2 linked regions of the Rattus norvegicus genome follow. The protein of the gene in region 2 interacts with the protein of the main gene of each other region in a pairwise test. Links are inferred from orthologs where the notes say so. Each region holds a gene or a part of one and is shown on either strand. Other genes may lie near its edges. The genes, in order: Rras2 and Rin1.

What was found.
Region 1: the proteins of Rin1 (region 2) and Rras2 interact in binary tests that used the Homo sapiens proteins (3 or more experiments, as listed by UniProt). The link is inferred for Rattus norvegicus from reciprocal best matches to the Homo sapiens genes RIN1 and RRAS2.

Annotation. Positions count from the first base shown.
Region 1 is NC_086019.1:177,734,467-177,738,744, forward strand, and holds the start of Rras2 (ras-related protein R-Ras2), read right to left. Parts: upstream 3,086-4,278; 5' UTR 2,823-3,085; coding exon 2,715-2,822; intron 1-2,714. UniProt on the Homo sapiens protein: GTP-binding protein with GTPase activity, involved in the regulation of MAPK signaling pathway and thereby controlling multiple cellular processes. Regulates craniofacial development.
Region 2 is NC_086019.1:211,783,557-211,788,113, reverse strand, and holds the start of Rin1 (ras and Rab interactor 1), read right to left. Parts: upstream 3,008-4,557; 5' UTR 2,872-3,007; coding exon 2,717-2,871; intron 2,573-2,716; coding exon 2,392-2,572; intron 2,293-2,391; coding exon 2,178-2,292; intron 2,089-2,177; coding exon 2,016-2,088; intron 1,906-2,015; coding exon 1,814-1,905; intron 1,678-1,813; coding exon 937-1,677; intron 689-936; coding exon 383-688; intron 71-382; coding exon 1-70. UniProt on the Homo sapiens protein: Ras effector protein, which may serve as an inhibitory modulator of neuronal plasticity in aversive memory formation. Can affect Ras signaling at different levels. First, by competing with RAF1 protein for binding to activated Ras.

The sequences.
Region 1 (4,278 bases), about 34 Mb from region 2:
GCAGGAGCACTAGTAGTTCAAGGCTAGCCACAGAACTCAAGACTAAGAACCTTAGCAAGATAGTTTTAAAGGGGTATGCCAAGGTTACCCTGCCAAAGTCCTGGGTTTGATCCCTAGCGCCTGGTGAGGTGGTGGAGCATGGTCAGGGTTGGGAGGGAGAACAGAAACTGAAATGTGATCTAAATGCACACGTCCCTTTTATGGGGAGGGGAGATTGTGAGTGTGGCATGTATGTTTTCACGTCCGGTGTTGAATGTTTATATATGCGTGCAGATGTAGCTGATAGACTGTGGCTTTAGTTACATAATCTAAGATTACCAGAGTAATGGAGGTGGCCTTTGTAGACCCACACCTTTGTCCCAAGACCTTGAGGCTAATCCATTTGATGTCCACAGCTGTATAACTATATTATCCTAGCTTCCAGATGACTAAAAGCCATAGCACAGACAGGTTCAGTAACTTACCCAACATCATGCTCAGGGGAATGGGCTCCACACAGGTGCTGTGCCTCCTTCCTCCTCACCAAGTCAACCCCAGAGCTATGTTCCTGTTTCACCAGCCCCAAAACCCCAAGTCACACACGCCTCTCCTACTCCCAGCTCCCCACACACTGGCCTCCTCTTTCCAATCTGGCCTGTGACTCCCCACGTTCACACAACCCCCATAAGACACAGTGCTCTTTTTTGGTACTAGGGCTCCAATGCAGAGCTTCCCACACAGCAGGCAAACCACTCTACGCTGCGCTACACCTGCCAGCCCCACAGAGCTTGTTTAGAGCCTTCCCACACTGACTCCTTCAAATCAGAATTCCCTTTCCATCTAAAGGTCTCATCTCACACACATACTGAAGTGACTACATTATCAACACAGCACACAGGCTCAACGCAACGCTAAAATCTTTCTCATAATGTAAAAGTTATAAAGGACATGTACTGAGAGCTATTTCACTAACAAGAAAATTGGAGGTTCAGAAAGGCTATTTGGGTGGTTGTTTTCATAGCCAATAAACAAAAGGCACAGTTCAAGTCTGTAGGATTCAAAAGTCCTTATCGGTATAAATCATTGCCACGCATGTCTTTACTTGACCTCATTTTAGAGCCTCTAGATACCAGACTACTCACAAAGTATTCAACAAATGAATTCTAGAAGGTCTTGAGGAAGACAGTCATTGCTGGGAGTGTAAGGATTTTTAAAACTATTTCTCAAATACCTTACCTGATGGAAGCAATCATGTTTGGATGATCTTCCTTCAAAAACTTAAATGTTTCTGATTTAAATCTCCTAAACAAATATTATCCACCAGTTCTGGAACCCAGGACTGTCCTCTGTCTTCTTGGTTCCCTCCAAAACCAGCCATCAGGGAGAGTTATCTGTGACTTGTTTTGCTGTCAGCCACTTAAAAGTCTCTTTTGGCCCCAAGCAAATAACAACTGCCAAAAGCCAGGCTGAAGTCTGGTAAACTTAAACCCACACCCCCACCACCGCAGCCACCACCACCACCACCACCACCACCGAACATGCTGTCAACGCTCATGACATGAACATCCTCTCCGAATACAAAGGTTGAGCAGCACTTTTTTATTCCATGAAATATTACAGGAGCAATTACTGTTCATTCACTTGGTGTGAAACTGACTATCAGTTAGGTTATGGAACTGTGCGTCTTAACACTATAAACACCACAGTTATAGCGAAACAAAATAAGCTATTTTAAGTCTATCCATTCAACAAATGGGTGAAACAAACAAAAACCACTTCGCCACCCGTCCCCTTTAATACAGTAAAAAAATACCTTTGTTACTTAGGGTACCTGCGCTCTCTCCAACATATGCCACGCCTTTCAGGGTGACAAAAGCAAGGAGAGCTGCCTTTGCTTTTTAAAAATCAAAAAGAAAAGAGAAAGAAAAATCAATCGGGCGTCTTAACCAAGAATAAAGTCTAAAGACATTTTACCTCCCTTTTCTTTGACACAACCCGACTTTCCTCCTCCAGCAACCGGGAGGGGGTGGGGGTGGGGGCTGCAATACAAAACTCATATTCGTCCCCTCCTAGTGGGGCTCATCCCAAACTTCACCTAAGCGCGAAGCAGGCAGGCACCGGGAATTCCAAGGAAATGGTCTCGCCCCTATCAAAGCACATTTTTAACTTCCTCGAAGCCATTATTTCCCTAGGGCACGATCAAACACTCCCACCCGGACATACCACCTAACAGACTACTAGTAAGAGAAGCTCAAACACACACAAAGAGAAAACACTATTGGGAGCCGGTGGTGCGAAGCCTCCAAGTAGTCCGGGCCATCGCTGCCACCAAGGCAAGCGCGAGGTCCCCACTCCGGCCCTCGGGGCAGGAAACCCGGCACCGCGGCGCGGCTGCAACCCGCCGGCTCCCGCCCTGACCGCAGCGATAAGGTGGAACTGCGCTTCCCACCCGGCCAGCTCCGCCCTCTGGGCCACATTCCTGAGAAGCCGGAGTCCTCGGACGCCGCGCCGGGCGCCTGGCGGGCAGCAGCGCGGCGCCGTGGCCGCAGGGCAGGAGCGCAGCGCCTACTCCACACTATTCTTGCCCTCGCAGCCGCGCGCCCTGGCCCCGCGCAAACCGCACCCGCGCGCACCGCACGCGCCGGAGCCCCGCACCCGCGCGCCCCGGGCGGGGTCGCCGCGGCCACAGGTAGCGCCACCCCGCCGCCGCCACCCCGCAGGCCGTCTCCAAGCACCTGGATGAACTGGATGGTGAGCGCCGACTTGCCCACGCCGCCACCGCCGACCACCACGAGCCGGTACTTCTCCTGGCCGGAGCCGTCGCGCCAGCCGGCCGCGGCCATCGGGACGCCCCGAGCCCAGCCCGGCCGCCGCGCGCCCTAGGCCCGGCTCCGGGGACGAGTGCGGCCGGCTGGGTTACAGGCGGTAGAGCGCGCGGGGCCCGCGAGTGGCCTGGAGGGCCGCGGAGCGCTATCCCCGGGACTGGTTGGGAGTTGCCCGAGACGCAGGAGAGCCGAGAAGGCTCCAGGGCAGAGGACGCAGCGGCCAGGGAGCGCGATCCTCTTCGCGGCTCTGCAGCGCAGCCGAACGCAGCCTCTAGCACCGCTACAAATGGCCGTCTGGGGGCCGGGCCGCCGGGCTGGGGTACTACATATGCATGAGGGGGCGGGGCTAGGCCTCGCCCGCCCAGGCGGAGACTCTGGAGCGCCCTAGGCAGCAGACCCTGCAGACCTGCCCTTAGAGCTCCGGGAGGAAGACAACGGGAAAATGGACGGCGGTGACAGTAACTGCATAAGTCAGGGATCGTGTTCATGAAAGAAACAGCCTGTGACGGCGTGAATGAAAAATAGAACTGTTGTCATATTCACTCAACTCTGTACCCTGTTTTCGGAATGCAGATGGTGACTGTATTTAAAAAAAAAAAAAAAAAGAAAGAAAGTATAAAGCAGCCATTGAGGAAATGAGACCTGTAGCATTACCTGAATGTATCATAGGCTAGTGGCAGTGCGAGAGTTAGGTGGATAGTGATTGAGTTTGCATGGGGCTACAGTGCATGTGGACAGATGTGGGGTGCAGCATCTGTTTGTATGTCTATGTGTGGAAAAACTGTGAGGTAATTGAGTCTGAGGGTCGTGAGAAATTGGCAGGTTAGTGACATGTTTCCTACCAGGAGAGTGTTTCGTTGCTAACACAGCTTCTACACACACGATCAAGCCCTTGCCCTTAGAGTCCAGAGGAGGAGGCAGCCAGGACAATAGGCACCTTGTGAGACATAATGATAAGGACAACAGCTGCTCAGCACTGAGGTCCAAGGTGCACTTACCCCGGAGCTGGCCAGTCAGAGAGGGTTTTCCAAAAGACCGAAGGAATAATCTTGTAAACAGATAAGTGATTGGAAGAAAAGTATTCCAGGGAAAGAAAACCAAGCTAAGCTATACATGGTAGTGCATGCCTTTAGCCCCAGTATTCTAGAAGCAGGAGCAGGTAGATCTCTGTGAGCTCAAAGAGTTCGAGGCCAGCCTGATCTACATAATGAGTTCCAGGCCAGGGCTACACACACAGGGAGGTCTGGGCTGAAAAGAAAGGAAGAATGAAAGAGAGAAAAGAAAACCAGATATGAGGGGCTATGCAGAAGCCAGAGATGACAAAGGGACACATTCTGTTGTGTGGTTTTGAATGTGCTGAGGGGAGCTTACACGCTAGCAGATATAAATAGAACGCATTGTGTGTTAGTTGAATGTGGTAGGGATATCTCTCTGTAGAGGCAGGGTAAGATTGAGGTTGTGGTCTCAGAGGGTA
Region 2 (4,557 bases):
TCAGGAAGGTCGCACTGGGCCAAGACAAGGCTCAAGAGAGGCAGGAACTCATCAGCACCTGCATTCTCCCCTGTGGAGACATGGGAAGAAGTTCCAGCCTCCTCAGAGGCCCAATCGCCACACTAGACAGTGACCCCTCCCCTCCGCCTGCTAGATCCCTAGGTAACTAGGTAACAGACCAGGACCAACATAGCAACCTCAGGGAAAGTTACAGGGAAGAAAGACAATGTTCTCTAGAGTTCCTGGAATAGAGGATTGGATCCTTCTATGCTGCTTGCAGCTCTGGGGTTCTGGAACCGGCTTGCTGTGGAAGTGGGTAGTGCACAGCCTCTACTTTGAAAGAGTGGAGCTGGGGGAAGTGGTTGGGGTAAGGGGGTCATACCTGCCTGGGTTTTCAGGGCTGTGTATAGCAACTTGCAGGCCTGCAGGAGCCACTTGATCTGGGCACTAGGCGAGTAGGCACGAAGGAGCTGCAGCAGCTTCTGACGCACTGGTTCTATCTCCACTGGGGAAGAAAGGTTCAGGTGGGACCCGAAGGCTCCAGGCCCCTGGGTCCGGGCCAGGCGGAAGCCCTCAGCTAGGCGGCCAAGGGAACCGTCTGTGGAAAGTCGGCGCCGCAGGCGGGCAGCTAGAATGGGTCGAAGAGGCTTGAGAACAGAGCGATGCAGGGATTTCTCCAGGACCAATTCTGCAAGAAGAGAGTTGTTGCTGTCAGGGGAAAGAAGCCTGGAAAAGCAGGAGTCCCTCGCCAAGACAGGAGATAGGGAGAAGGGTGAGGAGGAGAAGATGGAATTCCCTGCACCAGTAGTGAGAAGGGGTGGGGGTGGGGTGCAGGGTAAGCAGCAGTCATTAGGTACCAAAGTCAAGGAGAGAGGGAGACAGGGGAGGATGGAGAGCCAGGGACATGAACCGGTGCAGGCCAGGGCTCGGCCTTACCCAGCCGCTCTGGTGGTAGCAGTTTCTCAGGGCCCAGCTCTGCACTCAGCATGGCCCGTGCCCGACTCAGGGCCTGTCGGATGCCCTGCAACTCCCGGGACTCAGGACCAACACGAACCTGGGTCAATAGGTCCTGCACTAGCTGACCCACAGCTGTGTATCGGTTGTGCATTAGCATTGTAGCTGCCCGGCCCACCTGCCTCTCTGGTGCCAGCAGAGAGCAGAAAGCAGAACTCATGGACCGAAGCAGAGGCCGCCGGTGCCTTGGGCGGCTTAGGCGTGGGGAGGTTGTAGGGCTTCCTGAAGAACCCTCCTCCTCTGAGCTGCTGGGGGAGCAGCAGTCCACCTCCTGAAGTGAAGGTAGGGGAGGAAGACTAGGACCAGAAGCACTTCCTGGCACACGGTATCCCACTGAGCTCTCCCTCTGCAGCAGCTGTCGAGGGGGCAGTCTTTCCGTTTGGCTGGAAGATGTCCCTGGCAGAACGGGGACTGGAGGAGGCGGCACAGCAGGTGGAGACAGAGGGCTGGAGGTCTCTGTGGATACACGCACTTTGAAACTCCTCTTGAATTTCTCACGTTTGGTGGGGCCCAGATCCCCGGGGAAGAGGGGGTTGAAGAAGCAGAGGGCTGCACCAGTGCCCTGATCCAGCTCTTGAGGGGAGCGAGCCTTCAGCCGGGGTATCTGCGGAGCTTCTGAAGGTCTCTGTTGGTTCTTGGTGTTGAGAGAGGAACTCCAGAACTCTAGCAATCAGAAACCAATGGGGACCTCAGAGCTGGCTCTGGAGAGTACCCACAAAGAAAAATCTTGGTTGTTCTTTCTTCCCCCCATTTGGCTTCTATGTGTCCATCTGTGTAACAGGCTGCAGGGGACCCTTACCCATGCCCAGATGGGAGATGGCCTCCAGCTCTTTGTGGGTGGCTGCCTGATGAATGGCTCTGGGGAGTCGGAGAGGGAGGAGAAGAATGTCCCTAAGGTCAGAGCAAAGTGCAGTCAAGAGAGAGTGGTGCTCAGATGCAGAGGGTGGGCAGTCCCTGGAGGCAGGCCCAGGGGTCACCAGGTGCCCTGCTGGCAGGCTCACCTGGTATGACAGTATGCACAGATGAGCTGGACCAGGTCCGGGAATGTGAGCTCTGAGCCCTCCAAAGAGATGCCTGAGAGACATTGGGAGTGAGGCCGTTCTCTGGGAACCTCCCTCCCCTGCCTGTCTTCCAGCCCCTTCCCTCTAGGCCACCCTCCTCACCGCCAGGACTCTCTTGGAGATAGTGGCTGGAGACAAAAGAGGGGCCACTAGCTTCTGGCAGCCGCACACATAGAGTCTGGCACTGGCGAGTGTTAGATTTCCGCACCAGGAAGGTCTGCGAGTGATCAAGATTAGGAGGCTCAGGATCTCCACGTCCAGGCCCTTTCCCTCCCAGTCTTGTCCGGCTAGACCTTTAGGAACGGGAGAGACTCACCCCCGGAGGCTCTGTCCTCAGCACGTGCAGTGCGGCTGCAGCGTTGGCCCGCAGCTGTAACCACACAGGCCGGGTGATCAGCAGCCGCTCCCGCAAGCTCACTGTGCGTGCTGGTTGTTGGGACCCGCCTGCCTGAACCCCTCTGGCATCAGGTGTGTCATACAGTGGGTCTGGAGATGGCCTGGGGGCAGACACCCAGACTTGAGTAGGGGTCTTGGGTGAACACCTCTTCCCATTTGGGGCTTCCCATCTCTCCTGTCCTTGCCAGATCTTCCTATAACTGCCCTCACCCCCTGCACCTGGCTGATCTCCCGACTTTACTAACTTTTCTTCCTGTTGGTACCCAGGTACAAAGTTCAGGCTGGTGGCTCCCAGAGGGTGTGCTTCGGTCTCACCAGGGTCTTCCATGGCTGGGAGCTCCTTCAGCTTCTCCTGGGACTCAGGAAGAGAATCCAACCCCCAAGGCACAGGCGTGCACATTCCTGGCGGTGAGTAACACTTCCTGAAGGCGGTTCGCCCGGTCACACCCCGCCAGTTAACTCTTGTATGTCCACTCCATGTAGCCAGTGTCCACTTCTTTTGCTCTTGGCCCAGTCTTGAATGGCAGAGGCTTCCACACTAGAGTCTATCAGGGCCCCCGCTGTGGGAGGAGCACCTCCACACAGCACTTCCTGTAGCCTCCTCACACTATGCAGTGGGATAGGGAGGGGTTAAACACGGCCAACCAAGTTCCCACAGGCCCAAGCCGCACCCCTGGGTCACCTTAAGAAGTCTGTGGTCACTGGCTCATCTGTTCCAGCCTTGAAGGCGGGGTCAGCCTTGTGGGAGAGCACCCCCTACTGGTTGCAGATGACTCATTCCTGAATCTAACTTGGGTTTTGTGATTTCAGGTTGCTATGGAGAAAGGATGCTGTGTCTCCATGGAAACTAAGCTCTTTGCTTAACTGAGGTTCTGGGGGTGGTTCTGACACTCACTGCTAAGCAGAGGGGGCGTGTGGCTGTGAGGTCGACAGCACATGGTGCTGCTGCTAGCTGTCTCCCACACACAGACCCTGCTAGCTAGCCCGCCTTGCCAATTTGCCAAGTGTTTGGGGCAGGTGCAGACATGACCTGACCTCCAGAAATGTGCAGAAGCCCCTTCCCCACCCGAGGCCACGTGCTTCGACTGTTTGCCTGCCCTGGTCCCAACTTCCTTCCTCAGGCTTTTCTCTAAGAACTAATGTCTCAAACTGTAGGGACCCCAGAAGTCTGTCTTAGGTGCTCCCCACAAAAGCCTTGATTCCCTTGTAAGATACAACAACCACACAGCAGTCATATCCAGGTCCAATTTTATTCCAGTCCTTGGGATCTGAGAGGCAGACACCAGGAATGGCCCTGAGAAAGCCTGGGAAGCCAACTCCCCAGTGGCAGTTAGGATGGGCAAGACCCAACATGTCTCTGGCAGGAGTCCCTCCTGCAGCGGGGCCTGGCTCATGACTCAGTGGCCAAGGACCAGGGTTTAGTCAGGAGGGTTGCTGCTTTGACTCTGGATGAGGCCTGTCTTCTTGTGGGGGACACTGAGAAGTTACTCTTTGGGGAGGGGTGGGCTGCTCAGGGATGGAGACAACGGTCTTGCTTGGCCAGGTCAGCGTCAGGGCCGGTTGGTTATACAGATCCCAAGGAGAGCAGAGGAGTCCAGCAGTAAGTAACCCCCTGCCTTTGCAGAGAAACGTTAATCCTGTGTGCGGTGCCAGCTGCCCCAAGGACCCTCCGAGTGTAAATGCAGGGTCAGGGTCCTAGAAGGGTAGAAGGACGTTGAAAGAAAATGACAACCACCACTTCCTGAAGGCACTGAGGGAAGTGCCTTACTCCCTTCATCCATAAGGGTCTCTTCTTACTGCTCTCTCTGCTCCACCCTGCCTGGGGGCTCCAGGCACTTTTACCTTCTTGTGGTGTGCAGCCTGGGACTGGGTTCCTGCCCATGCTAGGCGAGAGCACTACCACTGAGCTACACCTCCACCTCTCCATGTTCTTGCTCCCTCAGCCAAGAGCTTCTCCAACCTGGATTCTATTCCTCAAACTCCCACAAAACCCTCAAAGTCAGATCAGGCTACCAATTCTGACAAGCCTGTGTCTGCGGTTCTTACCATCTGCTTTTCTCTTCTGAGGGGACACTGCTGCCCTGGC